7 linked regions of the Ovis aries genome follow. The protein of the gene in region 1 purifies or fractionates together with the protein of each later gene. This does not show direct contact. Links are inferred from orthologs where the notes say so. Each region holds a gene or a part of one and is shown in the gene's direction. Other genes may lie near its edges. The genes, in order: PCNA, POLA1, CCND1, IGF1R, DCLRE1A, CDK4 and XRCC1.

Region 1 (4,225 bases):
AAAATTCCATGAACAGGATAAATAAAACCACATCCACACTATACATGATAGAAAGACTAAAGAATTCTACAGACCAAGGTAAAACACTAGAAGTAACTAAAAAGAAATGCTGTAAACAAAGGAAAAAAGAAACAAAGGGAGAATATTCATAATAGGGAGATGGTTAATATATGAAATGCTTTTAATCAATCAGAAAAAAGTTTAATAGAAAAAATATAAACATGCAATGGTCAAGAACTGTATGAAAGATATCCAATTTGCACCAGTCTTTTAATATGCAAATTGAAATTTCCACACAAACGAGCACAGATTTAAAAATTAGATTGCCAGTAACAGAAAAATTAGAGGCAAGGAGCATGCTCATAGTCTTGGCTGGAATGTAAATTACAATCTTTTAGAAGTCAACTTAGTTAACATTTATCAAAAATTTAATGCGTATGCTCCTCTATCCAACAATACTACTTCAAGGAGTTGCCCGAATTACAAGAGATTGGCAGTTAGGTTAGGTTACATTTGTAGGATATGATGCCATCTTTTTAAGAGGTGCTGATAAACAAAACATGAACCTGGCATAAAATTAAACATACTTTAGTAAGCACTTTGCTGAATTCTTTATGGCATGAACTCATTTTTGTTTTTTAAAAGATATATACTTGTAGAGGAAAAAAAACTTAGAAAGTTACATAGAATAAATGATATCAATTTGTGTGTAGGTGGCGGAGGAGCTTTAAGAGCTGGTAGTAGGGAGATAACTTTTCTTGTTTTTTTTAAATCATAACTGTACCTCCCTTCAAACAGCTAAAGAAAAGGTGGCTTTTCTTCCTAAAGAGTCAGACAAACCGATGCGACTGAGCACAGAGCCTGGATTTACGTTTCACTCAGGGCTGTAAATTTTCTACCCCTCACGCGGGAGGCTGATGAGGCAGCACAGCGTCGCAGCTCATCGACCATTCCCGCCCAGCCTAGGACTGATTTTCACACTCACAAGGACTCCTCTTACGGGTGCCGGAACATGACAAAACGGCCAAGACTCCAGCGCACGCCTATCTGCTGGGCCCCTGAAGCGCTGCGCTCCTGCCCCGCCCCCATACCTGCATCCTCCAATGGATGCTCGGGGTGGGGCGGCTTTCGTGCAGTGCAGGGACAGGATTGGCTTTACAGTCTCTCCGCCCAGGCAGCGGGAGGGCAGCGTGATGACGTATCAACAAGGGGCACGGAGACGTAGCGCGCGCTAGCAGACGCGGCAGTATTAAACGGCTGCAGGCGCGGCTAGCTGTTAGAGGCGTCTCAGGCGTTCGTAATCGTGTTTTGCCTCTCGCTCTCATCCTCTGAAGCCTAAGCCGGTTACACATTCCTCACTCCTTGTACCTGTAGCCGTGTCATTGCGACTCCGCCACCATGTTCGAGGCGCGCCTGGTCCAGGGCTCCATCTTGAAGAAAGTGCTGGAGGCGCTTAAGGATCTCATCAATGAGGCCTGCTGGGACATCAGCTCAAGTGGCGTGAACCTACAGAGCATGGACTCGTCTCATGTCTCCTTGGTGCAGCTAACCCTTCGCTCCGAGGGCTTCGACACTTACCGCTGCGACCGTAACTTGGCCATGGGCGTGAACCTCACCAGGTGAGCTCCAAAGCCTCGGACATCCGGGCCATGGTCCGCTCCTACCTCTGGCTCTTGGCGCGAGCTCCTACGAGCCGGGCCCTCATTGGCTGGCGTGGGCCATCTGCGTCTTCTCATTGGCCTGCTGCGGAGTTGGGCGGGTGGCGGGACCCAGCAGAGCGCGCGGTTTGCAAAGCCCGCGCTGGCTGCAGCGCGAACAGCGAACCGGCTGTTTTCCGCGCCAAAGTCACAAAGCGTGTGGTGGCGGGAAAATGATGGACTTTGCGGTTTCAGGAAAAGACTGTTGCAGAACGCTTTGGTCGTTAAGTGCAAGCAACTTGGATGAGAAACCTTGGTCCTGGTTGACTTAAAGTGCTTTATAGTGTATCCTAGTTCTGTCACACTATCTAGGGACCAGAGTATTTCTTTTATTACTGCAAAGTTGCGGTGAGCACCCTAAGATCCTGGACTTGAAAATTTTCTCCAGGGCAATGGCGTTCAATTTTTGAACTACACATGTTTAAATCTTAAAGCTTATGATAAATACCCATAGTACATGCCGTGTACTTTAATAGGTTTATTAGATCATTTTTAAAGATAGTTGGCCCGATAATTTACTTCACCCACTCGAAATTCATAAAATGTTGTTCTTTTATTTATATCCAGAAGTGAAATTGCTTTTGGTATGTTGTGGGCCTTTTGGGTTTATACTGCCAGATTGCATTCCAAAGTGTCTGGACCGGCTTGCATATCCCCCGTGCAGTACGTTTTCCTAACTCACCAATCTGACAGATGGCATACTGGTTAAGGGTTTCCCTGGTGGCTCACTGGTAAAGCATCACTTTGCCAATGCAGAAGATGAGGGTTCGATCCCTGGGTGGAAAAGATCCCCTGGGGAAAGAAATGGCAACCCACTCCAGTATTCTTGCCTGGGAAATCTCATGGACAGAGAGAGGACCCTGATAGGCTGCAGTCCAGGAGACACCACTTACGCTCTAAACAACTGCAACTAATGGTTAAAAGTGGTAACTCCTGATTTTAATTCCATTAGAAAACTAACGATCTTGAGAAGATGGTGTTTAAAAACCCTTTGTCTTCTCTGTTCTAGCATGTCCAAAATACTAAAATGTGCTGGCAATGAAGACATCATTACCTTAAGGGCTGAAGATAATGCGGACACCTTGGCACTAGTATTTGAAGCTCCAAGTAAGTCCACCCTTCTACTGAGTTATGGCAGAGGAAACTAAAATGCAGTGTATTTCCCAAGTCTGATGATTGTAAAATATACCTCTTAGTTGTAAATTTACGTGTTTTTCTTCAAATTTGCTTTCTTTTGGTAGATCAGGAAAAGGTTTCAGACTATGAAATGAAGTTAATGGATTTAGATGTTGAACAGCTTGGAATTCCAGTGAGTATCAAAAGTTTCTGATTGAGCATGCTGTACACAGTTATGATAGTTACATAACATATATTTATATAATAATTTAAAGCCTACTTCCTAATAGAACTTTTCTGTATATCTGCTCATGTATATTCCAGAGTAGGGTATTTAGACTGATATATTTGTCATTTTATTAAATTATGGTGTTCTACAGTGCTATGGTTTGAATTCATTGCTGCCAAGGACATATTTGCATTAACCTCTGCATCTTTTAAAAAAATTATTATTCCTAGAGTGCTTGATTTTTATTGAGATTTTAAAGCTATTTTAGCAGAAATTCATTATGGTTAGGTTTTATCAACATCAAAAGAAGATGTGTTCAGATGTTTACAATGCCTAACACGCTCTTGTTTTGGAAAGCAAACCTATTTGTGCTGTTACCATTTGTATGCCATATACTAATGTCTTCTTGATTTAGACCTCCTATAGAGTGATTAGCTGGAGGCTCTTGTTCCCTGGATAGTGCATTTACTTTTAAAAGTTTAAGTTCTAATTGGTTTCTTAGTATGATGATGATTATTCTTTTTTATATCTGCATTTTTTTTAGTAGAATGTTAAGAAATTGCACAATGAGTGATATTTCAGAGTAATCAGAAAATCTTGAATTGTGAGTTCTTGTTTAGATGTTGAATCTTCAGGAAGTGAGGGTGCCAAATCTTTCATTTCCATGACCTTTACATTTCTTTGTTTTATAGGAACAAGAGTATAGCTGTGTAGTAAAGATGCCTTCTGGTGAATTTGCACGTATATGCCGAGATCTCAGTCATATTGGAGATGCTGTTGTAATTTCCTGTGCTAAAGATGGAGTGAAATTTTCTGCAAGTGGAGAACTTGGAAATGGAAATATTAAATTGTCACAGACGAGTAATGTTGATAAAGAGGAGGAAGCTGTAAGTAGTTTTCAAGTAAACAAAATACTTTGAAGAATTACACTATGTTATGTCCTAGTTTGGTAAGGCTACTGTTTCAAAGTACCATAGACTGGGTCAGATTTGGTGTCTGACGAGGGCCTGCTTCTTCATTTAAGAAGACAGCAGCCTCTTTAACCTGGTGAAAGGGGTAGGAGAGTTCTCTGGGGTCTCTAAAAGGCACTAATCCCATTCATGAGGAGTCTGCCTTCCTAACGTAAGCACCTCCCAAAGTCCCCTCCAATACCATCATTTTGGAAATTTCTGGAGGTATTTAC
Region 2 (3,696 bases), on another chromosome or scaffold:
TGTAGGTGTGGCAGAAATCCAGTCAACTCTGCCCATCAGGCTCTCCAAGCTCTGTGTCCAGGTGTTTTTTCCCCTAGAGTCTTAGGTCTTCAGATGGAGCTGGTCGTTTCTTCCACCCCTCACTTGGAAAGGCAGAACTGTCAAGAGAAGAGGGGGATTTTTAGCAGGGTATGTTTAAGTTCTTGATAACCAGCCCACCAAATTCTCACCTGGGACATTAATGACCTGTCACCATGGCAGCTGCGGCAGTGGTGTGTGTCTCTGTGCTTTAACTGTGCTTAGCTGGTCTGCTGTCTTCGTGTCAGTGGTTGGCGGAATTCTGGCCTTCTGAGGGTCAGGCAGCCTGTGTAATTACCAGTCTTGCCACTCTGCACTTGCACTTGGTTTTTGACACCCCAAAATGGTTAGGGATCAGTGGTGATACAAACAAGGATTACTCTAAAACCATTTGTAGTGCACCTGTAGAATATAGACTGTGTTTGTTTTCCTGGTTTTTGGAGGGGGCTGGATGGGGGAGATTTTGGAATTTCATTTGATCGGTTGAACAGTTATGGAGATTACTGTCTTTTTGGGGGGCACCATCAGCTAGCGGAAAGGGAGGCAGCATGTCTCACAGGTTTGCCAAGTACAGGAGAAACCAATCTCGAAATTACAAATGACTAATCCCCAAAGCAGCTAATGAAGAATTGGCTATAATTCAGTTTGTTTTTTATGAAGTAGATGAGTAATTGATGGTGTGACAAGTGTATTATGCTAATGGAATCATTTAATATCTTATGTTAACACCCACCTAAAAGGAATACTAAGTTAATTGATGTCTATTTAAGGAAAACCCTGCAGTGGTGTTGAATGTCAGAACTCATGATTTGGTTGCAGCTAACTCTTTCAGGCTGCCATTCCACTTTGAATTTGACAATTTTTTCATCAGAATTGTTTAACACTTTCACTCCACTTGAGCTTTCTCAAACTTGTATGATGGCAGGTAGAGGACTTCACGAGTGTTTATGAAGAAGTTGATGAGGAACAGTACTCGAAGCTGGTCCAGGCCCGCCAGGATGACGACTGGATCGTGGATGACGGTAGGTGGGAAGAAGCCACCTGCCAGACACTGTGTCAGTAGCTTTTCATAAGTTCTTATGCAGCAGAGTTGTTTCTTTGCTTGGACAGGTAGATGTAAGGCACCTTTGGCTTGGATTTTTCTTAAATGCATGATTTGAGGGTGTGGAAGCAGAACGATGGAAAGTTTTGTCGAGGGGCATTTTGGAGAAACCAGACATACACCTCAGACTATAGTATAAATCCTCCAGGAAGTGACTGTGTAGGAGTTTGGAGGAATCTCACACCTGTGGGCTGTCTCCATGTGATGGGGTAGAGGAAAATATGTCACAGAATGGCTGTGAGGATTACACAAGACTGTACTCATGAAGAGTGACTTGGACAGTGGAAAGCCCTGGGTAGACATAGGCTGGTCCCCATGTTCTCATAGCCCTTCTGGAAAGCTCTGTGGTTCCTGTTTGTGGGATGTGACTTCTTGGGTGTGTGAGTGCCAACCACGCAGCAGAGAAAGGGGGTGTAGACTGCGCCTGCCACTGTTTATGTTCCTATTTCTGTAATTGGACTTGGCTATATTCCCAACTTGAACTTGCAGACTAAATTGCTTTTCTGGACTTCTGGTGATCTTTATTCTTTTTATTCTTCTGGTAGAGTAGAAGTTGGAGAAGGCAATGGCAACCCACTCCAGTACTCTTGCCTGGAAACTCCCATGGATGGAGGAGCCTGGTGGGCTGCAGTCCATAGGTTTGCTAAGAGTCAGACACGACTGAGCAACTTCACTTTCACTTTTCACTTTCTTGCATTGGAGAAGGAAATGGCAACCCACTCCATTGTTCTTGCCTGGAGAATCCCAGGGACGGCAGAGCCTGGTGGGCTGCCGTCTGTGGGGTCGCACAGAGTCGGATAAGACTGAAGTGACTTAGCAGCAGCAGCAGCAGAGTAGAAGTACTGTAAAGCATCCTATTGTGGCAAACTTTGATCCTGTGGGCCAAATTATTTCCTAGTTCATATAAATAGGCATAGTATATAGCTGATCCTTGAACAGCACGGGTTTAAACTGCTTCAGTTCAGTTCAGTTCAGTCGCTCAGTCGTATCCAACTCTTTGCGACCCCATGAATTGCAGCATGCCAGGCCTCCCTGTCCATCACCAACTCCTGGAGTTCACTCAAACTCATGTCCATAGAGTCGGTGATGCCATCCAGCCATCTCATCCTCTGTCATCCCTTTCTCCTCCTGCCCCCAATCCCTCCCAGCATCAGAATCTTTTCCAGTGAGTCAACTCTTCGCATGAGGTGGCCAAAGTACTGGAGTTTCAGCTTTAGCATCATTCCTTCCAAAGAACACCCAGGACTGATCTCCTTCAGAATGGACTGGTTGGATCTCCTTGCAGTCCAAGGGACTCTCAAGAGTCTTCTCCAACACCACAGTTCAAAAGCATCAATTCTTCGGTGCTCAGCCTTCTTCACAGTCCAACTCTCACATCCATACATGACCACTGGAAAACCATAGCCTTGACTAGATGGGATGTTTGTTGGCAAAGTTATATATGTGTGGCTATTTTTCGATAATAAATACAATAGTGCTACACCATCTGTGGTTGTTTGAATCCACAATTGTAGAGGAGCTGTAGATACTGATGGCTGACTGTAAGTTATATGTGGGTTAACTTCCAAGTTGTGTGAGGGTCAGCTGTATATCCTTTGGTTTTGACTCAGAAAACCTGTGTGAGGGCTGTGTTTCATCTGACTTTTGGTTGAACAGGATTCTGCTGCATTTTAAAATGACATGGACCAGGAGAACATCTGATTGGGGGTTTTTATTTTTTTGTCATGGGCAAAATATTGGCTATGTTTAGAAATTTGATCCTAATAATGAAATTTTTTTCCTGCAGATGGTATTGGCTATGTGGAGGATGGCCGGGAAATTTTTGATGATGACCTTGAAGATGATGCTCTTGATTCCCATGAGAAAGGTACCTGCATTTTGTTTTTAAGAGGGCCATTTTGAGATTTAAGAAATTGTCTAAAATTTCAGATGACTTGGTACTTTGATACAGTTTCTTCAGGGGAAACGGACCTACCACAATTGTGTTTGAGTATAGAAAATGTTCTAATATTGAAAGAAGTGTAGTTATGTAGAAAATTAAGCATGGAAAGCAAAAACAACCAGGAAATGAAATATCACATCTCTCTATCCAAAGAGTTTAGTCTTACTTATTTTAGAATTTTCAATGCTGTGGTCATTTTAGATTTGCTGATTTTGATGGCTACAAGCATAATGATGTCTTTTCATTCCTGCTGAAGTTACTTAGGATTTTAGCTCTTTGATAGAAGCACAGTACAATAACAAGGCTTCGATTTTCTGTTAACTTGCTTTGTTTAATTGAAATTTAAAACGATGTGAATGAATGTGTTATATTCTCATAGCTATCACAATCATTGGCAAAAAAATTTTTGAGTCAACAAGCCCGATTTCGTTCCTGTAAAATGAGAGGTGGAAATTTTCTTCATATGTTTTTTTAAATTTAGTTCATTGTTACCACCAAGTGGTAGATCACTGGCCAACATTCTGTGGCTCACTTAGAGCTGGTTTATTTTAGAATAGCTTTACTGAGATAGAATTAACATACCATACAATTCCAC
Region 3 (4,175 bases), on another chromosome or scaffold:
TTTAAAATCATCAGATCAATACACCTATTTCTTTAACTTGTAATTGTTCTGATTGTTGCCAGACCCCCGCCAACCGCCTCAGGCTCTCGAATGCAGCCCCCGGGCAAATTCTAAAGGTGAAGAGAGGTCCACACCCCCAACAAAGCCAATTAGGAAGTTTCCGGTGGTCTTCTCCCAGGCGGGGAGGCGACCAATATTTCCAGCGATTTAGCTTAATTTTTAATTAAAAAAACGAGACAGGACAGAGACCACTGTTTTGCAGCCTTCCTTTCAGAGTGTTTTTCTAGCTGTTAAATTGCCGGCACAGGGCGGGGGCGGGGGGGAAGTGTTGGGGGCCCCCCGCAAGAATGGACTAGCTAAGGTAGGAAGACAGTGCGCAGATCCCCCAGGCGAAGAGGACAGGGCGAAGGAAATGCTGGCCACCATCTTGGGCTGCTGCTGGAATTTTCGGGCATTTATTTTATTTTATTTTTTGAGCGAGCGCGTGTTAGGCTGAAAGCCCTTTAACTTTGGGGGTTACCCCTCCGGCATTTGCACAGACCCCCCTCGGTGCGGGAATGAAACCTCCACCGGGGTTGTCGGCTCTGCCCTGAGTCCCTGAATGGTAAATGGTTCCTGAAATTTACACGTGTTAATGAAAATGAAAGAAGACGTAGACGCTAAGATCCCTTGGCTGCCTCCGCCCGTGGGTGCCCTCGTGGCGTTCTCGGAAATGCGCCCATTCTCCCGGCTCAGAGTGTCACCGAACCCCAGCGTCCCCCTCCACACGGTCTCCCCCAGCTGCGTGTGGCCTGCCCGCCCTCCTAGTTGTCCCCCTCTGCAGAGCCACCGTCACCCAACCCCCCAAATCCTGCGGGACCCGCTCGGGGAGGACAGACCCCCCCCCCAACCCCCGCTCCTGCACCCCTCTTCCTCGGCGGGGAGAAAGGCAGCCTTAGGACGGTTTGCATTTCTATGAAAACCCGGCTTCGGGGGCAACACCGCGCGGTGCAGGCGCGGCGCCTCCGGGATGGCTTTTGGGCTCTGCCCCTCGCCGCTCCCCGACGCTCGGCGCCCGCGCCCCCTCCCCCTGCGCCCGGCCCCCCTCCTTCCCGCTCCCATTCTCTGCCCGGCTTTGATCTCTGCTTAACAACAGTAACGTCACACGGACTACAGGGGAGTTTTGTTGGAAGTTGCAAAGTCCTAGAGCCTCCAGAGGGCTGTCGGCGCAGTAGCAGCGAGCAGCAGCGTCCGCGCGCTCCGGCGAGGGGCAGACGAGCTCGAGGGAGCGCGGGGCAGCAGGAGCCCGAGTCGAGAGCCGACCCAGCCCCGGACCCATCGCCGCCCCCCGGCCACCTAGCCGAGCCCCCAACCATGGCACACCAGCTCCTGTGCTGCGAGATGGAAACCATTCGCCGGGCGTACCCCGATGCCAACCTCCTCAACGACCGAGTGCTGCGGGCCATGCTCAAGGCGGAGGAGACCTGCGCGCCCTCGGTGTCCTACTTCAAGTGTGTGCAGAAGGAGATCCTGCCGTCCATGCGGAAGATCGTGGCCACCTGGATGCTGGAGGTGCGGGGCTCCGGGCGGCTCTCTTAGCACTTTCCTGCGACTTGTTGCGCAAACCCACTTTTCTTTGCCACTCATCACCCTCCCTTCTCTCCCACCCAAACTTTGAAGTTTGCCAGAGTGTTGCTAGGAATCGTAGTTCCAAAATATATAGATATTCAGGGTATTTTTTTGAACAAGGAGGGAGTGGGGGTGGGGTCATTAGATAATTCCTTTCGTGGGTGGGTGGGGGCGGCGGCGGTCGAGGAGGGGTACCCTAGGGGAAAGCCACTGCCCGGGCACCCCAGTTGGCTTCAGGGTGCGGGCCCGCAGGCTGGGCGTCCTTTGTGGCCCCCGCCGGGACCTCCACCGCGCAGCCCCGCTGCGCCTCCTCTTGCGGCCGCGCGGCTGCTGAGCCGCCAGCTCCAGGGGGAGGGGGCATAGATTTGATTTTTAAATTAATATCCATGGACACGTATGCAAGGGCCGCTCGTGCCAGTATTATGCGCCATCTTTGTTCTTTTATTGCAAAGCAAAAGTGTTTATTAATAATTGGGGGCAGGGTGGGGGCGGGGAGCGGCCGGCCAGGCGCTTGGGGCCGCCGCGAGGGGCCGCGCCGCCACCGGGACCCAGCGGGAGGGGCGCGGGGACAGAGCTCGGGTAGTTGTGGGGGGACCCCTCTCGGGAAAGGGGGCCCCTTTGTTCAAGCAGTGGGTCCCGGGGCGTCCCGCAAGGCCAGCTTGGGCCAGAGAGCACGCCGGGCTGCAAGGTCGCGTGGCCCCCAAGACGCTAGGAATGGACCCTCATCTGCCGGGATCTCAGCTTGGGGGACCTGTCTGGAGCGAGCTGGGGGCCAGGGGCACGTTTTCAGGCCTTCAGAGGGCTCCCCGGGGCACCGCAAGTATTTTAAAATAATTTTTGAAAGTGCGGCGTGGTGCCCTTGCGAGAAGGAAACGGCGCCCGCGCCCAGGGGGAAGGGGGGCCCCCGAGTTTGAATTCCTGGGGCTCTCCCCTGAGCCCGCAACGAGCTCCCGACTCCCGGCCTGGGTAAAGGACAGTCTGAGGGTCATTTTCAGGGCATTTTTATGTACCCACTTAATTTTTTTATATTTTTAAATATTTTTTGAAAAGATGACGTCTGGGGAAATGCGGCGCGGCGGCCTGGGACGCCACCTTTGTGTCTCGCAGGCGCTGCGAGCGCGGCGCCCAGCCCCGCGGCCCTCCCCGCGGCCCTGCGCCCCATTTTTTGCCGACCCCAGGTCTGGCGGCTCCCGAAGCACCCACGCGGGCCGGGGTCCCTGGGACCCACAGCCCGCGCGCGACACACGCCGCCCAGCTGTGCCCGCTCCCGCCCCCACTGTGCCAGCCTAGCTGGGACTTTCCCTTTCAGTTTCGGGGTGGGTGAGTATTGGGGACTCCCGGGGAAGAGGGGCGCGGCGGCGGCGGCTTCTGCTGCCCCTTGCCCCGACCCTCCGCGCGCTCAGAGACCTCGCAGTCCAGCCGCCCTGGCGCGAGCCGGGTCGGGGGGCGCGAGGTCTCCGCAGAGGGGCCGGGCGCTCCCGGCGGCGGCGGCGGCGGCGGCGGTCACGGCCCCCGGTGCCCCCCGGCAGGTCTGCGAGGAGCAGAAGTGCGAGGAGGAGGTCTTCCCGCTGGCCATGAACTACCTGGACCGCTTCCTGTCGCTGGAGCCCGTGAAAAAGAGCCGCCTGCAGCTGCTGGGGGCCACCTGCATGTTCGTGGCCTCGAAGATGAAGGAGACCATCCCCCTGACGGCCGAGAAGCTGTGCGTCTACACTGACAACTCCATCCGGCCCGACGAGCTGCTGGTAACCCTGGGACCCCCGCCACGGCCCCTGAACGCCCAGTTAGCCGCGGGACCCCGGGGTGGGGGAGGCGCGGGGGTCCCCGGCGGGCCGCCGAGAGACCCTCGCCCCCAAGGAAGGCGGCCGCACGGGCGGGGCCCCGCGCCGCCCCGCAGCCGCGCCGCCGCCCCCCTCGCTTTCCCTCTGACTCCCACCACCTCTGCGCCCCCAGCGTTGCGAAAAGTGGGGGGCGCGCGCCCTCCAGCGGCGGCGGCGGGGCGGCGCCCGCGCGGTTGACCCGGCTCCGCGTTCCAGGTGTGGGCGGGCCCCTGGTCTCCGCCGGCCCAGGGTGGGCTGAGTTTAGGGTAGGACCCTTGGCGAGCAGCACCGTCCCTGCACGGAATGTGGGGTCGCGCGCTCTCCCCCTCACTTCCCGGACCCTCCAGCGACCCCCATCCCCTCTCTCCGACCCCTGCTCCACTGGGGTCCGCGCCTGCGCCTCTCGACACGCGTTTCCCCCGGGTCCGCAGCACATGGAGCTGGTCCTGGTGAACAAACTCAAGTGGAACCTGGCGGCCATGACCCCGCACGACTTCATCGAGCACTTCCTCTCCAAAATGCCGGTGGCCGAGGAGAACAAGCAGATCATCCGCAAACACGCGCAGACCTTCGTTGCCCTCTGTGCCACAGGTAGGGTGCTGGTCCCCGCCGCTGGTGCCCGGGAGGAGCTGCTTGGCCCATGCCTCGGTTTTCCGCGTCGGGGGAGATGCGGGAACATCTTCCCCGGGCCCCTCCCGTTCTTGGAAGCGCTCCTCTGTCCCCCGTTCTGGGGAGCAGAGAGGGCTG
Region 4 (3,696 bases), on another chromosome or scaffold:
AACCTGACCATCAAAGCTGGGAAAATGTACTTCGCGTTCAATCCCAAGCTGTGTGTCTCGGAGATTTACCGCATGGAGGAAGTGACGGGGACTAAGGGGCGCCAGAGCAAAGGCGACATAAACACCAGGAACAACGGGGAGAGAGCCTCCTGTGAGTGCGACCTCCCACACTGCGCGGTGGCTTCTGTTCGTGGCCCCTCCTCACTTCACGCAGGCCTCTTAAACCGACACCTGGACATCTTCAAAGGCAGTAGTGAGGCAGATTCGTATTAGTAAATTTTCAGTAGCATCTATCTGTGTATAAACGTTTATAAATGGCTTTTCGCTTAGATTTTAAAGAGGGGCTTACAGAATACACAGAGTTAAGCATCTTTAATGCTCAGGCAGACTGTTGGATTGTTTTCCAGGGGAGAGCTGGTCCTCTCCAGCCCTGGGAGGGAGTGAGCCTAGCCCTGAGTCTCCGGGGTGGAGGGGAGGTCTGAGGGCAGGGAGGCTCAGCTGCAGCCCCTGTGGCCATGGGCCCCCAACCTGGATCCTGGTCCCAGCACAGCATGAAAAATGGAGAGAGACTGCCTCCCTGAATTGATAGCTACTTTTTAAATTTAGGACAGTATAATTATAATCTTATATTGGTTATATGACTTCTGCTTGAAGGTTTTGCCTCTGAATGGTGAGTTTCTCACCTAACCTTGTATGTAAAACTGTTTTTAAAAACGGTGTGCCTCTGTGTGGCTGGATCAGGTTATGAAGGTAAATGCTCTCTCCACCATTGGCTTTTGATAAGGGACAATATGCAAAAAAACATAGACTAGCCCCTGTGATCCGGGGTGGTTTGCACACACGCACACTGGCCAGAGAGAATCTTAGAGACTGTCAGCACTGGACTTCATTTTGTGGGCTTGGGATTCACCCTGTAGACTCTCGAGTTGCCCAGGAAGGGATTTTAGAGGAGAGAAACCCGACGCAGAGCTGGAGGGCCTTCTTCCTGCACGCCACACGCCCCCTCGCCACGCTCCTGTTTAGACCATCGCAGAGTGGATGTCGCATAGCTCTCTCAAAGTGTTTTTCTGCTGAGAGGCAGCCAGTCTGACCTGTTGGATCATGAATACAGTAGCCATTTATTGTCTTTGGGGGGAGAAAAATGATGTTTCCTCTGTAAATAACATTTTAGCGGAAACTGCAGCATTTTTTCCATCTCAATCCATCACGTTTTGCCCCACAGACATCTTGGGTTGTAACTGTTGCTGGCCTCTGCTTCACCTCCCAAGGGTGGAGGGTGCAGTGGGAGGGAGTCGGCAAACACAGGGCCGGGGGCGGGAAGGTCCATTCATAGGAGAGCTCGGGTCTCAGCCGGGCGGCTTCCGCAACCCTCCCTGAGTTCTCAGCTGTTTGAATCTGGTCTGGGAGCACGAGGGGACTTGGGACAGCCTCCCTGTGGTGCTCCCGGCCCAGGCTCCTCCCACAGAGGACGGGAGCCGTGCTGAGCGAGGTGGGCTCTGTTAGTGCCCGGTCCATTCCCCGCTACGTGTCGGCACTGCTGGAGCCTCCAGGGAGTTCCTGGAGGTGTCGCGCAGGAAGGTGTCAGTTCCAAGCTCAGGCTAAGTAAAGTTCCCCTCCTGTGGCACACCTGCCCCGTTACTGACGCGACCAGGCAGATCCGCAGTGGTGAGACAGGTGTCACCTTGTCTAAGAAGACTCGTCCAGCGTCAAGGTCCCCAGGCCCCTCGGTGGCCCACATCTCAGGCATGAACAGAGACAAGCTCCCTTGGTGCAGCCAGCAGTCCTCTTCCAGGTTATTAAGGATTTCCCACAGGTTCACATCCAGAGCCCCTCGTAAGCGAAAGCAAAGGACAGAGCCCCTTGCAGGCCCTGTAGTGCAGTGTTTGGGTCCTTAGTGGAGACAGCAGGGTCACTGAGACGTTCCAACAGGGGCTTTGCACGCACAGCCAGCTTTGGGGGAGAGGGTCATGGTGCCGGGCAGGTGAGCCCGCGGGAGGGAGGGAGGGGAGGGCGGAGATCGCAGTCCCTCACGCGTGTGCCTCTGCCCCAGGTGAAAGTGACGTCCTGCATTTCACCTCCACCACCACGTCGAAGAACCGAATCATCATCACCTGGCACCGGTACCGGCCCCCCGACTACCGGGACCTCATCAGCTTCACCGTCTACTACAAGGAAGCGTGAGTGTCTGCGCTGCGGATGTCCTTCTGTGGGCGGGCTTCATCCTCCCCCCAGCCCTGCTGTCCGGTGACAGCCGCAACCACCAGTGACAGCTGTAAATGAAAAAGTGTTTTCTCAACGCCTTTCCTTCTCCAGGGGGTGTTTAGAGATGCTTGAATTTAAAAAGTCCAAAGCGAAAAACTTAGTGACTTAGGTCAGTCCAAACATTCAGAAGCTGGGATGGAGCGTGTGGTGGCGGCATCATTGTAGCCTTGGTGCCCTCTAACCCATAGTCCACAGACACCTGAGTCGGGGTGCTCAGCCCCCCTCGAGGTGACCCTCAGAGGAGTCCGTAGTCTTCTCCCGTCGCTCTCTGTGGCCCCTCCCCAGATGTGGCCCTCCACTGTAGATCGTAAACCCTCCAAACTAGGGGTGGAGACTGGAGAGAGACTGACCTCCCTGTCCCGAACCTTTCAGGATCTCTCCCAGAATCTGCCAGGGGCATTTCTTGTCCTTCAGGGGACACCTGCCTGCCCGGGCAGCCAGCACGTCTCTCCTGATGGCAGGGATGTCTTCTTGGTCCGCCCCTCCCTTCCGGTGCCTCCTGCATCCGGGTGGTTGCCTGGGCCTCTTAGTCACCCTCTTCACCCAGGTCCCGCCTTGATGCCTCTCCCGGTGCCTGGCTTCTCTGGAGCTGGAACCAGAGCCATGGTGGCAGCATCTGGTACCCCTTCTCCTGCCACAGCTGGGGCCCTGGGAGTGTCATGCCCATGAGAAGGCGCAGATGCAGGATTCTCAGGCATTCACCGTCCCTGCATGTGGGAGTCACTCATCCGCTGTCACGACGATTGGGAGGGGTGTGTGAATGCCGGTTTCAGAAACCAGTGGTGGTCCAGCCCTTCCATCTGAGGGGCGTGGGATCCCTGTCCAGCTCCGCATCTGTGCAGAACCACCGTCCTCTTTGACAGTCCTACCAGTGCTCTGGCAGGGTCGGCTGGCACTTTCACCAAGGGATTGACATTAGTAGCTGAGATAACCTGGAAACTAAATATTTGAATGTGATAAAAATGCTTAAGCAATCAGAATTGTTTGTGAGCAAATTAGATTTTGGAGGCTGTATTTGAGAAGCCGTTTGTCTGTGGCAAAGGCATTTTCCTCCAGAAGTTATTCTTATCAATAACTGATGTTTGCATTAAGTGACTGCCCTTGTTTTTTCTTTATGGTGGAAAAAAAAAATGCCACAGTGGGAAGAAAGGGAAAGAGTATTTGTATATACTCTTCAGGAGCAGTGTTTCCAATCTCAGTAATTACAGAACTTACTCTTCCTGAGGCAGAGGGTTTGATTCTATAGTATATAGAGAACCAGCTGAGACCTGGAGTCCGGTAGCTTACTTTGGTTCTGTAAAGATCTAACTGCTGATATGTTTTACCTAGAATCCCCATTATGGAAAGTGGAAGGGGACACCCGGGGGAGGTTTCTTAGAGTTTCCACGTTAGCACTGTAAAGCACTGTCTGAGGTTCGTTGACTGTGTTTCAGC
Region 5 (4,145 bases), on another chromosome or scaffold:
GTGTTCGATCCCTGTGTTGGGCCCATCCCCTGGAGGAGGGCATGACAGCCCACTCCAGCATTCTTGCCTGGAGAATCCCCATGGACAGAGCGGCAGGCTGCAGTCCATGAGGCTGCAGAGTTGGACATGGCAGAGCGACTAAGCACCCACGCAATAAGACCACCTAGGTGGTTTGCAAAGATTAAATTACAAATACTTTGTGTTTAGGACTCTGTGTGGCCCACAAGTGATCCGTAACCGTTAGCCTGGATGATGCACAAAGATGATGATGACGATGGGCAACCAGACTGAGAGGACAGGGTGGCGTGGACACTGGAATCACTGCCAATGGGGGCCACGAAACTTTAACTCAGTGAACTGAGTTAACCCAAGGCCCGGGCAGAGCCGGAGGACAGAGACGAAGGTGCAGGTTCCCGTCCTCCACAAACCCTCGTTCGCTGCCGCCTGGGGACAGAGTCGGCTGGGCGAGGCGTCTCTCCGCGGCTCGGCTGTACAGCCGCCTCGCCCACCGCTTTAGGGGAGGGCGCGGTCCGCGAGAAAGGGGAGGTTCCGGAGGGGTCCCCACCCCGAAGCCAGCCCCTCACCTTCCGGAAACTCCGGCACCGACAAGTCCTGCTCCCAGCCGTCCACCTTCTGCAGATACTGGTAGACCAGGCCGTCCTTCTCCTCCTGGGTCACGGCGTCGAGCAGGGCGTACTCCAGCGAGGTCTGAGCCGGGAGCAGGCCCGAGAGGTTGCAGCTCCGGGCTCCGGGCGCCGCCATGTTCTCTCCGGATGGTCCAGGGGCCGCCCAGCCCGCGGGACGGTCTCGTGTGGAGAGAGAGGAAGCGCTTTATTGTTCTTTGGTTTCCAAACCGCACATTCGCCTCCCTTTCCACCAGCCCCACTCCACGCTAACGGCACTTTGTTCAAAGGCTAAAGTGTAAATCGGCGCGATTCCCAGGCACGTAATTAAACTACCTTCCCAAGGTACCCCGCCCCTCCTAAGTCTTCTCGCCCCAGGGGAGCCTGGACATTCGGAACGCCAGATTCAACAAGGAAAAGGCCCCTGGGCCGGCGTTCTAGAAGCTCCAAGAGAACAATTCCCGCCCTTCAGTTTGGAAATTAGCAGGTTTTAGAACTAAAATAAAATAAACCTGTCGAACTTAAAGGGCCCAAACTTTTTTTTTTTTCTTTTCAAAGCTCCCGTTTTAGACCGGGAACAGCCGATTCGACACAGCGTTGGTCACGGGAAGCTGTTCCCGCCACGACATGAAAGGTAAAGGAGCAGGCTTTTTTAAGTTGGGAGGGACTAGCCAATGGCTTGGCTTATACACCAACGCCGCGTTTTATTACCAGGCGGTGCAGTGAAAGTGCAGGAGCGAACACGGGGACCAGGCGGACGAGGGGTGTCGGGGGGGAGCGGACGCAGCTGGAGCTCCTCGCAGCGGGGTGGGGGTGGTGAGGGTGCCAGGTGGGCGTCTGCCCTCAGAAGAGGGGTGGGGGCACCGGTGGCTTTTGCGGAGCGGGCTGTGTTGGCTCCCAGCCCTGGGAGTGGGGAGGGGAATGAGGGCCCCCTCCACTGGCCTTGCCGCCTCTAATGCCCAAACAGGAGATCGAGCCGGTGGGTGTCATCAGGCAGGTGAACCTTGGTTTTTGAGGCTGGTGGGAAAGAAAGCTGATCACTCGCAGGCAGATCACCTCTGCGATCTGAAGTTAGGCGTGGGGGTGTCCTCGGTGCAGGTCCAACTTCACATACTTGAATTTTGTTTGTTCATTGTGCAGCCCTTGTTCACTGCCGCTGGAGGAAGATACTGGACTGACCCAGGAAACCGAAGTTGTTGAATGTCCTGGAGTCACGGATAAGGGCTATTACTTTTCTTTTGCCAATCACACACATTTGATTATGGTATGACTAGAGTTGCTAGCAAGCTGAAGTAGCCTTTTAAGTGTTTGGAGCATCTGCTGAGTCAGTTGCCTAGGGACTGTGGTTGGATTTGTGATTTGGACACTTGTCCAGCTGAAAAAGAATTGACAGGAGCTTTATAAGGATTTTACAAAGCTCCTTCTAAAATTAGTCTGTTAAACCTATGATTTCCATTAGGACTTGGTATTCAAAGTATTACTGATTCTTATTTTTATGAATCAAGTCCTGGAAAAAGCCAAGAGACCTGAATGAAGTATACACAATGGAAAACTCAGATGCCATAAATGAAACAGCAAGTGTTCTTAGGTAAAAGGTTTGTGGTTTCCCAATATATTCAATACCAGAGCTTTAGAGTCCCATCAAGTTAGTAAGTTTTTTGTCACTTTTTTTTTCCCTCAGCAAAATAATTCCCTTTAATAATTTTGTAACAAGAAACAGACTGTCAACTTACTTAAGATTAGTGCTTTTTTAATGATCAGAATCATTTTGCCATGTTAGAAGATGCTTTTTTGGAAGAAGACATCTGGGAATACAAATCCAAAAGAAAACCAAAACGAGTACATCCAAATAATTGCTCTGAGAATATTCCAGATTTTGTTGAAAAAGCAACAGATGGACAACACCAGTCAAAACGAAACAGAAATAAAAAAAGGACTGTAGAAACTAAAAAGAAGGTCAAGACCCCAGAAACGTGCCTTAGAGAAACAGACAGTCAGACTTCTGTCGCTTCCAGTCAGAACTCCATTTGTGGAGATGGTATTCAACAGTGCCAAGACACAGAGGTCACTCCAGAAAAGCGCTGTAGGACTCACAAAAACAAACACGTGTCTCCAAAGACACGACCGGTTTATGATGGGTACTGTCCCAACTGCCAGATGCCTTTTTCCTGCTTGCTAGGTCAAACACCTCGATGGCATGTTTTTGAGTGTTTGGATTCCACACCAGTCTCCGGAACAGGTAAGATTCCAAAAAAGACAGTGGGCTTGAAATAGTCAACAAGACCTGAATGAGGCCAGACTTACCAATCTGGAAGGAAGGAAGGAAACCAGATAAGTAGTAAACCGGAAGTGAGATGAGATACTCTTAAGTAAGAATGACTCATCTTTGAAGGAAACAAGATAATGCATTGTGACCCTTCTTGTGAGGCTAAAAAGATACTAGTCATTGGTATAGCTGTAGAGAGTGTTGCAAACCTGAAAACACTTTGAATGGGGAATTCCCTGGTGGTAAGTGGTTTGGGCTCCTTTCCTCCACTGCAGGTGGAATGGGTTCAATCCCTGGTTCAAGAACTAAGATCCTAGAAGCTGCATGGCCAAAAAAGAAAGTTTCGATGCATTTTATTATTTCATAAGAGTTCCAAAACATCTGTGGTTTTTCATAAATGTTAATTGGGCACATATTAGGCTACTTTTACCTGCATAAGGTAGGTGGTGTTGACATCTAATGGGCTTCCCAGGTGGCACAGAGGTAAAGAATCCACCTGCTGGTGCAGAAGCCATGGCTTCAGTCCCTGGGTTGGAAAGGTCTCCTGGAGAAGGAAATGGCAATCCACTCTGGTATTCTTGCCTGGGAAATCCTATGGACAGAGGAGCCTGGGGGGGCTACAGTCCCTAGGGTCGAAAAGAGTCAGATATGACTTAGCAACTGTGCTGTGCTTAGTCGCTCAGTCATGTCCAAACCTTTGCAACCCCAGACACTGCAGCCCTCCAGGCTCCTCTGCCCATAGGGATTCTTCGGGCAAGAATACTGGAGTGGGTTGCCATGCCCTTCTCGACTTAGTGACTAAATAACAGCAATTGATATCCAATAGGGGTGAAGTGAAGTCGCTCAGTCATGTCCAACTCTGCGGCCCCATGGATGTAGCCTGCCAGGCTCCTCTGTCCATGGCATTTCCCAGGCAAGAATACTGGAGTGGGTTGCCATTTCCTTGGCCAGAAGATCTTCCTGACCCAGGGATAGAACCCAGGTCTTCCTCATTGCAGGCAGACTCTGAGCACTTAGTGTTCTTAAAAGTTGAACGATTTGCCCATTTTATCTTTTATGAAACAGCCTTTTAGAGAAGCATGAATGTAGTCCACAGGAGTCTTGAAGTCAAGAATGCCGTACATTCTTCTTAAGGTACAGAGAGAAGAACTAGGAAGGAGTGTTAGTTTATTAAGATTCTAGTAAATAATTGTGCCAAATGAGAACTGAAGTAATATTACATTTTTGTTATCTTTTAAACTATATAGTAAATGTCA
Region 6 (4,113 bases), on another chromosome or scaffold:
GTCAGACACGACTGAGCAACTGAACTGAACTGGGCACCGTCTACTCCCTATTTTATATGACCACATATAAACTATGTGACTGTATCTTTATAGATAAAGGTCAAGTGTCTGCGACACTTGTCGAAAAAAAATTAACAAAAAAAAGAAACCCCACAGACACACAGGAAGCAAGGACTCAGTAAACATTTGCTGAATGAATGAATGAAACAAAGACACAAATGAGAACATGTTTTCTGCTAGCGATGGAGCAGAAAGACGACAGCAGCACCTCCCGTCCCTCGACCCATCTCCCCGCTTAGAGAGAGTGAGAGACAGGTAGTGAGACTCAGGCTCGGCTTGCAGCCCGGAGTTGGGAATCCTGGGTGGCCCAGGTTGCCATGGCATCGCATTGGACTCCACCCTCTCTCTTCTCCCGCCCCAACGCCCAGCCAGAGTTAAGGCAGCCAGTCACGTGCCCTTCAGCGTAACCACACCTCTGCTCCTCCAAGCAATGTCAAGCGGTCACGTGTGATAGCAACAGATCATGTGGTTGCCATCTCTCTCCGCCTCTTTCCCCTCCTCGCCCCTTTCTCGTTCAAAGCCGCTTTCTGGCTGCCCCTCCGCGCATGAGTAGTCCGGTCACGTGGTCCGAACGTCCGGCGTTGGCCCCGCCCCTCCAATTTCCGCGCGCCTCTTTGGCAGCTGGTCACATGGTGAGGGTGGGGGTAAAGGGGGCCGCTCTAGCCTGCGGCCTGTGTCTATGGTCGGGCCCATAGCGTCCAGCTGCCCAGGACAGACCTCGAGTGTATGGCGCTGCAGGAACCGGCTCCGGGGTCCGGATAACGGGCCGACCCCGCAGCTCCTGACACGGGGCGAGGTGAGTGTAGCCCTTTTCAGGAATGGGGACCATTCTCGCCGTCCACTGCTTCCTACGCGGGCTGGTTATGGAAGGGTTGCTCGAGGGCGGGAAGTGGGGCAGGATGTGATAATGTTCCTTTGTGGCCGAAGGGAGGTGTAATTTCAGGAACTGGGTGTCGGGTCTTTGATGTAGGGGGTGTGTCTTATGGGATTTCCCTTGTGTGGGGCTTGATGGTCCCCAAGGAAAATGCATCTTTGAAAAAGTTATAGGGCCTCACGTGGCTGGAGGGTTTGGGGTTAGAGTTATTGTGTTACCTAGGGGGCTGCCTTCAGGGAAGCTTGGGAATGCTGTTGGTGTTGTCTTCGTGATGTCTTTTGTGGGAGTCACTTTGTTGCTGCAGGCTCATTGAGCCTCTGTGATTGTAGGGCCTCCTCTGGTCTGAGAATGGCTACCTCTCGATACGAGCCAGTGGCTGAGATTGGTGTCGGTGCCTATGGGACAGTGTACAAGGCCCGTGATCCTCACAGTGGCCACTTTGTGGCCCTCAAGAGTGTGAGAGTCCCCAACGGAGGAGGTGCTGGAGGGGGCCTGCCCATCAGCACCGTTCGGGAGGTGGCCTTACTGCGGCGTCTGGAGGCTTTTGAGCATCCCAATGTTGTCAGGTGAGAAGAAGATGGAAGGGTGGGAATGGGTCGTGAAAGGAAAAAGACAGCCTAACCTGTAGATGTGGAGTGGTGGTCAGAAGAGGAGTGGGAACCCTGAGGAAATAGGGGAGGCCATGTTGGGTCCAAGACCATTGCTCAATGAGTGACCATTTGTTCTGGCCAGGCTCATGGACGTCTGTGCAACAGCCCGAACTGACCGGGAGACCAAAGTGACCCTGGTGTTTGAGCATGTGGACCAAGACCTCAGGACGTATCTGGACAAGGCACCCCCACCAGGCTTGCCAGTGGAGACCATAAAGGTAAGTAGGGCGGGCAGACACTGAGAGATAGCTTGAGACCTTTGTGGTAGTTTGTTGTAATTTCAGGTGTGGCACCTGATTCCCAGTTTCTCTGTACTTCCCCCTTCCAAACCAGGATCTGATGCGCCAGTTTCTAAGAGGCCTGGATTTCCTTCATGCCAACTGCATCGTTCACCGAGACCTGAAGCCAGAGAACATTCTGGTGACAAGTGGTGGGACAGTCAAGCTGGCTGACTTTGGCCTGGCCAGAATCTACAGCTACCAGATGGCACTTACACCTGTGGTCAGTAGAATGATGGTGGCCAGGATGGGGCCAGAGTGGGGTCTGGCTGGGGGAGAAGAGTGATTGCCCATAACAGTTGAGAAGGAGCGTGTTTTTCCATGTGCTTTGCAGTAACTTGCAGGACTCTCATCCGCATTACTTATTCCCATCAGGTTGTTACACTCTGGTATCGTGCTCCAGAAGTTCTTTTGCAGTCTACGTATGCAACACCCGTGGACATGTGGAGTGTTGGCTGTATCTTTGCAGAGATGTTTCGTCGAAAGTATGGGGCCCAAGTATCCCAAACATTTTGAATTTCCCAAGTTTTTTATTCATAAGCCACGCCTATACCCTGCCTGCTCTTCCACTTACTATTGGCCACCTTGTCCATAGCCGGAAACTCTGAAATGTTCTGGAATTAGGAATTTCATAGCCCTTTATTCTCCACACCCTATGTTTTGAGCCACTAAACAGTATCTACCACCCTGTCTTTGTAAAACTGCTACTGGAATGACTGTCTCTTTTCACCTTAGGCCTCTCTTCTGTGGAAACTCTGAAGCTGACCAGTTAGGCAAAATCTTTGAGTAAGTGACCTGCAAGGGGGAAGAACTTTGCATTCCGAGTCCTTGACTTTGCATTCTGCTGAGTCCTTGACAGCAGCTGGCTCTGCCCCTGGAGATGGGGGCTGGAAAAAGGCCCTCCTGACCAGAATTCTCTTGTTCCCCATAGCCTGATCGGACTGCCCCCGGAGGATGACTGGCCCCGAGATGTCTCTCTACCCCGAGGAGCCTTTTCCCCCAGAGGGCCCCGCCCAGTGCAGTCAGTGGTCCCTGAGCTGGAGGAATCCGGAGCACAGCTGCTGCTGGTAATAGACTCAGGCATGGGCACAGGGCGAGACTACAGGGGGAAATCACGTGTTTGTCACTCAGTCCTGTCAGACTCTTTACAACCCCATGGACTGTAGCCCACTGGAGTGGGTTGCCATTTCCTTCTCCAGCGGGTCATCCCAGGGATTGAATCTAGGTCTCCTGCATTGCAGGCAGTTTATTTTACCACTTGAGCCATCAGTGGGGGGAAATGGAGCAGGATAAAAGGGACCCAAATGCATTGTTGTTACTGAGACTTGATAATGAACAGGTTGGTTTTTATTACTGTTTTGAACGGCTGGCCACAAGAGGGATAGAAAAAAATCACCCATTCTAGGTATTGTTAGGGTTAAGCAGGAGTCCCTTTTGTTTCTTCCATGTTTTCTGACATTTGCGTCTCTTCTCAGGAGATGCTGACTTTTAACCCACACAAGCGAATCTCTGCCTTCCGAGCCCTGCAGCACTCTTATCTACACAAGGCAGAAGGTGACGCAGAGTGAGCAACAGAATGGCTGGAACAGAACCAAGGCGAGAGACACAAATTTCCCTTCTTTTGAACACTTGAGTGGAGAGCCCCACCACTGAGAAGGCAACCTCTGCCTTCACCTCTGAAGCTGTGGAGACGACTCCTCCAACTTTTTACAGACAATATTTTACTGCCTTAACAATATTCCCCTCCCACCCTTCTTTTTGAGGCTTATCCTTATCCTGTGTCCTTACACCAAGAGATATGTCCCTTGTTCTCCCCTTCTTTATACCTTTATATTGGGATCCTTTTTTATACAGGACAAACAAAACAAATATGGTCTTTTTTTTTTTTTAATATTTCTTCCTCTGATTGGCTTTACTGTTTGGGAATTTGGAAAAAACCATTTGGAAGATGGAATTTCCTTGCAGATTCTCTTTAGATCACAGGGTCAGTGGAGCCCCTCTACTAACAAGGGAAGGAAAGGCATTTACATGGCTTCTTTGATTATAGAGTTTAAATGGTTTTTATTTTTATATTTATTGAACCTCCCCAAACCAGGTCCTCCTTATTACAAGAGTTCTTGGTAGTTTTCTCTCGGGATCTGTCCCTGATTTACCCTTGGAGCAAAGATGTGTTGAGGTGGTCCAGCATATGGAAGGGAGAAGAGGGGAAACAGCCAGGAATGACTCCAACCGCCATCCCATCTCATGTAAT
Region 7 (4,203 bases), on another chromosome or scaffold:
GTGACCCTGCAGGCCTGGGTCCCCAGCTGTTCTTATAGGAAGCTGGGAAGGGGTGGCTCTGGACCTACCTTACCCCTAGGCTAAGAAATGATGAGGTAAGCCCTGGGGTAGGTCTCTCCAGCTCTGAGTGGGGGAGAGGGAAACAGAATCCAAAAGGAGCAGTGGCATCTTGTGCCCAGCCCCCTCCTCCATGCAGCCCCAGGCATTTGGGCTTCCAACCCTCTCTTCCATCAGGTCCCACCGCACCGGCCGTCACCACCTTTTTTTCTAATGTTAAGCCCACGATCAGAATCAGGTCATTTTGTTTCCTGTAGGGGAGAGCAGCTGCTAGGACTCAGGTGCCCTCCCCCTTCTCTCCTTCCCCAAGGAGGTGCCCAGTGTGGGTGAGGCACTACCTGTGAGCGCCCAGCAAGTCCAGGCTTGTTTTGCTGGCGCGAGCTTGGCTCATACTCCCTTTTCTGTGTTTGGTCTGTCTCCATCTCCGACCCCACCCCAGGATGCACATGGGTCTCTCGGAGACGGAACAGAGGGCTGCTTGTTCAGGGCATGGGGATGGTAGTGGACAGATGCCCAGAGTTCCCATTGGAAAAGGAAGGCTGGGTGTGTGTCTGGTTCGGGCACACACTTTGTGGTTTATTAAGGTCCTTTACACAATGTCTCTGCCTCAGGCCTGATCTTCAGGGATCAGAGATTTTCTTGTGGGTGTGTGTCTGGATGTGTGTCTGTGTGTTGGTGTGGGGAGGGTAGCCAGCCAGCCAGCCATGGAGGGGATCGTGTTGCGGTAGGCTCCCGGCTTCCTGAAAAAATGCACTCAAGATTGCTGGCCTCTTGCTTTCCAGGCTTCAGTTAGGGCGCTGAGGACGGCGAATTTCTGCTGGGGACCAATCCTGCAGGCCAAGCCAGTTGCTAGGAAAGCCTGGTGTGAAAGTGACTGGGAGGAGGGGCGAGAGAGCCGTTTGGCCAGAGCCAGGCGGGAAAAGCTCGTTGCTAGGGAACTCGGCTCCTCTGGGCGCTCTCCGGGGAGACGCACTAGGCATGCGCAGTGGTGACGTAACCGCCGGCGCGCCGCGGTTTGAAAGGCCCGAGCCTCGTGCGCTTGCGCAGTGAAGGCCGCACGGGGCGCACCCCCTGTGAGCCCCCGAAACTCAGACCTTCGTGCATCTTTTGGGTCGGGCGAAGCCCTCTCGACGTTGACATGCCGGAGATCCGCCTCCGCCATGTGGTGTCCTGCAGTAGCCAGGACTCGGTGAGGGACTGGCGTGGGGGAGGGTGGAAGAAGTGAAGGAATTCGTCAGCGGGCTCTGGAACTTCTGGAGTCTCAGAGGTGTTGAAAAATAATCCGTATGCGGGGTGCCAAGAAAGAGCTTGGGGTTCTTACGAATTGCAGTTTGGGAGACAGATTCCGTTGAACGGAGTGTTGGCAGCGGGAATCAGGCGCTTATGAGGACAGAGGTCGCAGGTTATTACAGTCGTGTGGAGAGAATTCTAATTGGTTGTGATACACGGAAAGAAGTATTTGGCTTTAAAGAAGACGCTGTTCTGAGTTACCGGAGGGTAAGGGTCTGATAAGTACCTTGAGTTTCTGGCACATATTCTGGATGCCTGTGTGAATACAATAAGTGGTCAAAAGGTCAGATTCCACTGTAGCTGCGACCCGCTTGGTCAGAATTCCTCCGTAGCCCCCCGGTCAATCTTTGAGAACACTTTTAGCAATGCGGACTTCATTTTGGTTTTCCTTTCACAAAGGGGACTTTGTGTAATTCTAGGAGGGTCATGGGAGAATTTCTGGGAGGCCATAGGGAATTTTGGAGAGATGTGGGATCGAGAAATTTGCTGAGAGAAAAGTAGGGTGCTTTGCTTCCTGGGAAGGAGCAGAGGTGAATTTCTAGGGGGAAATGTTGGAGGGGACTCCAGGTAGAGTGTGGAGGGATTTATTATTTTAACACTAGAAGGTTTTGTATTGGGGTATAGACAGATAACAATGTTGGGATAGTTTCAGGTGAACAGCAAAGGGACTCAGACATACATATCCATGTATCCATTCTTCCTCAAACCCCAGAGTGTGGGGGGATTGATAAGGAAACTGAAACCTGGGTGATGTCAGATGGCTTGAGAGAACTCTCAGACTAATCTGAGAGCTGGGGACATAGCCCTCACCTCTGAACCCTAACGTTTCCTTTTCTACTCTTCTCTCCAGACCTACTGTGCAGAAAACCTTCTCAAGGCAGACACTTACCGTAAATGGCGAGCAGCCAAGGCGGGTGAGAAGACCATCTCTGTGGTGCTCCAGGTGATTCTGCCAGCTGCCACCTCCCCCCACCCCCAGCCCCCGCCATCTTTTTTTTCCCCCTCTCTGCTGGGTGGTATGTGGGATATTAGTTCTCTGACCATGAACAGAACTGGAGCCCCTTGCTTTGGAAGCTCAGAGTCTTAACCTCTGGGCCCCCAGAGAAGTCCCCCTCCCTCCATCTCCTTAATAGAAATCTGTAGGTCCAGGGTCCACACTCTACTCTGGAGTTAACTGGCAGTGAGCTGAGGCACTTTCTCTTTGGTCCCCACCACCTCACCTGGACAATAAGCAGTGTGGTCCCTGTGCCCTTAGCAGAGGAGAGAGGTGAGGCAAGGACTAGGCCAGGAATGAATCCGTGTGTGGTCCAGGTAGGTTGCTGCTCTTTTCAGAGCCTTATCCTCAGTTGGAAGAGAGTAAACCATTGCCACGCATTCTGCCTTCTCAAGGCCCTGGGCTTAGGACTGGAAGGTGTCTCATATCTAAGCCAATCAACCTCATTTTAAAGATGGAGAAACTGAGGCCTAGGAAGGGCCAAAGTGAAGTGGCCAGCCTAGTGGCCATCGTGGAATGCAGAGTGCTGTGGTACGTGTTGGTGAAGTTGGAGGCAGCAAAGGGAAAAGGGCAGTTTGACCCAGGATGGTGACAGACTTCCCAACAGGCTTTTCCCATCAGGCACAAGGAACTGGTAGGAGAAGCGAGCTAGTGAGTTCCCAGGGCTGCCTGGGTGTTACCCTGCGTGATCTGGCTCTCCAAGGAGTCGAATGGTGGTGGAGCTGTTATCACCCCTCATGCATGGCAGTGCTGCGAGTTGAACCCAGTGTGGGTGCTCTAGCCATCTCTTTCTTCTTTGTGTCTATATGTTGACTTAACTTTGTTTTTTATATTTATTCATATTTGGCTGTGTTGGGTCTTAGTTGCAGCATGTGGGATCTAGTTAGCTGGCCAGGGTTGGGAACCTGGGCACCCTGCATTGGGAGCATGGAGTTGTAGCTCCTGGATCTCCTGAGAAGTCTCTGTCTTTTTTATTTTTAATTTTTGGCCACACCACATGACACTTTGGGGCGTTAGTTCCTCAGCCAGGGATTGAACCTGCCCCCAGCCCCCTGCCCCGTTGGCGGCACGGATTCTTAACCACTGGACCACCAGGGAAGTCCTCCACTTCTGGATTTTGGCCACATTCATCCCTCCAATGTAAGGGTGTTTGGGGAGGGATGCTGGGCAAGGCCTGCCGGATTGTGTTAAATTTATTATTGTCTGTCTTACCCAGTGGTTCTGAAAATGTTTTGGTTCATAGACCTTTTTGCAAATTAGAGAGAAGCTAAGAATTCTTCTCCCAAGAATTATACACAAAGTCACAGGATTTTGTGAATGATTTTTGAACTTTTAATATTTCATAGTTCCCTAAGGTAGTATAGTCAGAATAATGAGAGCTAAGAGTTTATTCACAGATACAACTGTTTGGGAATAGCCTGGTGGGCCAGTGGTTAGGATTCCACTCCATGCCACAAGGCCCAGGTTCAATGCCCAACTTGGGAAAATGCTCCCCACCTCAGAAAAAAAAAACAAAACCCTGCCAGTTACCATTCTAAATGCCTCATATGGGTTAGTTCATTGAATCCTCATAAAAATCCCATCACCTCAAATCTATTATTATCCCCTGTATGATGCAGAAACTAGGCCCAGAGAGAGTATACATTTGCCTAGAGGCAGTATTCTCAACTGAGAGAGAGATGCAGGTGGCTGACAAGTTAATCTCAGGTGGAATTCAAGTCCCCATCTCCCTCTCTTACTCTCGCTGTGACCTCAGGCAAATAGTTTCATGTCTCAGAAGCTGTCTTCTCACCTGTTCTTGGAGGATAATGTGCTGGGCGCCCAGGGTCACCGTGAAAATCCGGTGACATAGTGTTTGCAGA

The links.
Region 2: the proteins of PCNA (region 1) and POLA1 fractionate together in Homo sapiens (co-fractionation; 3 studies listed by BioGRID). This does not show direct contact. The link is inferred for Ovis aries from reciprocal best matches to the Homo sapiens genes PCNA and POLA1.
Region 3: the proteins of PCNA (region 1) and CCND1 purify together in Homo sapiens (affinity purification with western blotting; 5 studies listed by BioGRID and IntAct, with this or other methods). This does not show direct contact. The link is inferred for Ovis aries from reciprocal best matches to the Homo sapiens genes PCNA and CCND1.
Region 4: the proteins of PCNA (region 1) and IGF1R purify together in Homo sapiens (affinity purification with western blotting; 3 studies listed by BioGRID, with this or other methods). This does not show direct contact. The link is inferred for Ovis aries from reciprocal best matches to the Homo sapiens genes PCNA and IGF1R.
Region 5: the proteins of PCNA (region 1) and DCLRE1A purify together in Homo sapiens (affinity purification with western blotting; 3 studies listed by BioGRID and IntAct, with this or other methods). This does not show direct contact. The link is inferred for Ovis aries from reciprocal best matches to the Homo sapiens genes PCNA and DCLRE1A.
Region 6: the proteins of PCNA (region 1) and CDK4 purify together in Homo sapiens (affinity purification with western blotting; 5 studies listed by BioGRID and IntAct, with this or other methods). This does not show direct contact. The link is inferred for Ovis aries from reciprocal best matches to the Homo sapiens genes PCNA and CDK4.
Region 7: the proteins of PCNA (region 1) and XRCC1 purify together in Homo sapiens (affinity purification with western blotting; 3 studies listed by BioGRID, with this or other methods). This does not show direct contact. The link is inferred for Ovis aries from reciprocal best matches to the Homo sapiens genes PCNA and XRCC1.

What each region holds. Positions count from the first base shown.
Region 1 is NC_056066.1:47,047,955-47,052,179, reverse strand, and holds the start of PCNA (proliferating cell nuclear antigen), read left to right. Parts: upstream 1-1,278; 5' UTR 1,279-1,398; coding exon 1,399-1,619; intron 1,620-2,706; coding exon 2,707-2,804; intron 2,805-2,938; coding exon 2,939-3,006; intron 3,007-3,734; coding exon 3,735-3,929; intron 3,930-4,225. UniProt on the Homo sapiens protein: Auxiliary protein of DNA polymerase delta and epsilon, is involved in the control of eukaryotic DNA replication by increasing the polymerase's processibility during elongation of the leading strand.
Region 2 is NC_056080.1:22,998,008-23,001,703, forward strand, and holds part of POLA1 (DNA polymerase alpha catalytic subunit), read left to right. Parts: intron 1-982; coding exon 983-1,079; intron 1,080-2,945; coding exon 2,946-3,026; intron 3,027-3,696. UniProt on the Homo sapiens protein: Catalytic subunit of the DNA polymerase alpha complex (also known as the alpha DNA polymerase-primase complex) which plays an essential role in the initiation of DNA synthesis.
Region 3 is NC_056074.1:43,280,932-43,285,106, forward strand, and holds the start of CCND1 (G1/S-specific cyclin-D1), read left to right. Parts: upstream 1-1,193; 5' UTR 1,194-1,353; coding exon 1,354-1,551; intron 1,552-3,137; coding exon 3,138-3,353; intron 3,354-3,859; coding exon 3,860-4,019; intron 4,020-4,175. UniProt on the Homo sapiens protein: Regulatory component of the cyclin D1-CDK4 (DC) complex that phosphorylates and inhibits members of the retinoblastoma (RB) protein family including RB1 and regulates the cell-cycle during G(1)/S transition.
Region 4 is NC_056071.1:7,454,012-7,457,707, forward strand, and holds part of IGF1R (insulin-like growth factor 1 receptor), read left to right. Parts: coding exon 1-151; intron 152-2,050; coding exon 2,051-2,177; intron 2,178-3,695; coding exon 3,696-3,696. UniProt on the Homo sapiens protein: Receptor tyrosine kinase which mediates actions of insulin-like growth factor 1 (IGF1). Binds IGF1 with high affinity and IGF2 and insulin (INS) with a lower affinity. The activated IGF1R is involved in cell growth and survival control.
Region 5 is NC_056075.1:33,846,732-33,850,876, reverse strand, and holds the start of DCLRE1A (DNA cross-link repair 1A protein), read left to right. Parts: upstream 1-1,206; 5' UTR 1,207-1,257; intron 1,258-1,763; 5' UTR 1,764-2,396; coding exon 2,397-2,862; intron 2,863-4,145. Other genes in the region: NHLRC2 (NHL repeat-containing protein 2), read right to left, coding at 585-762. UniProt on the Homo sapiens protein: May be required for DNA interstrand cross-link repair. Also required for checkpoint mediated cell cycle arrest in early prophase in response to mitotic spindle poisons.
Region 6 is NC_056056.1:161,900,546-161,904,658, forward strand, and holds CDK4 (cyclin-dependent kinase 4), read left to right. Parts: upstream 1-1,282; coding exon 1,283-1,500; intron 1,501-1,666; coding exon 1,667-1,802; intron 1,803-1,917; coding exon 1,918-2,085; intron 2,086-2,237; coding exon 2,238-2,347; intron 2,348-2,597; coding exon 2,598-2,648; intron 2,649-2,793; coding exon 2,794-2,929; intron 2,930-3,337; coding exon 3,338-3,430; downstream 3,431-4,113.
Region 7 is NC_056067.1:51,484,939-51,489,141, reverse strand, and holds the start of XRCC1 (DNA repair protein XRCC1), read left to right. Parts: upstream 1-1,271; 5' UTR 1,272-1,440; coding exon 1,441-1,554; exon of another isoform or gene 1,555-1,630; intron 1,631-2,197; coding exon 2,198-2,290; intron 2,291-4,203. UniProt on the Homo sapiens protein: Scaffold protein involved in DNA single-strand break repair by mediating the assembly of DNA break repair protein complexes. Negatively regulates ADP-ribosyltransferase activity of PARP1 during base-excision repair in order to prevent excessive PARP1 activity.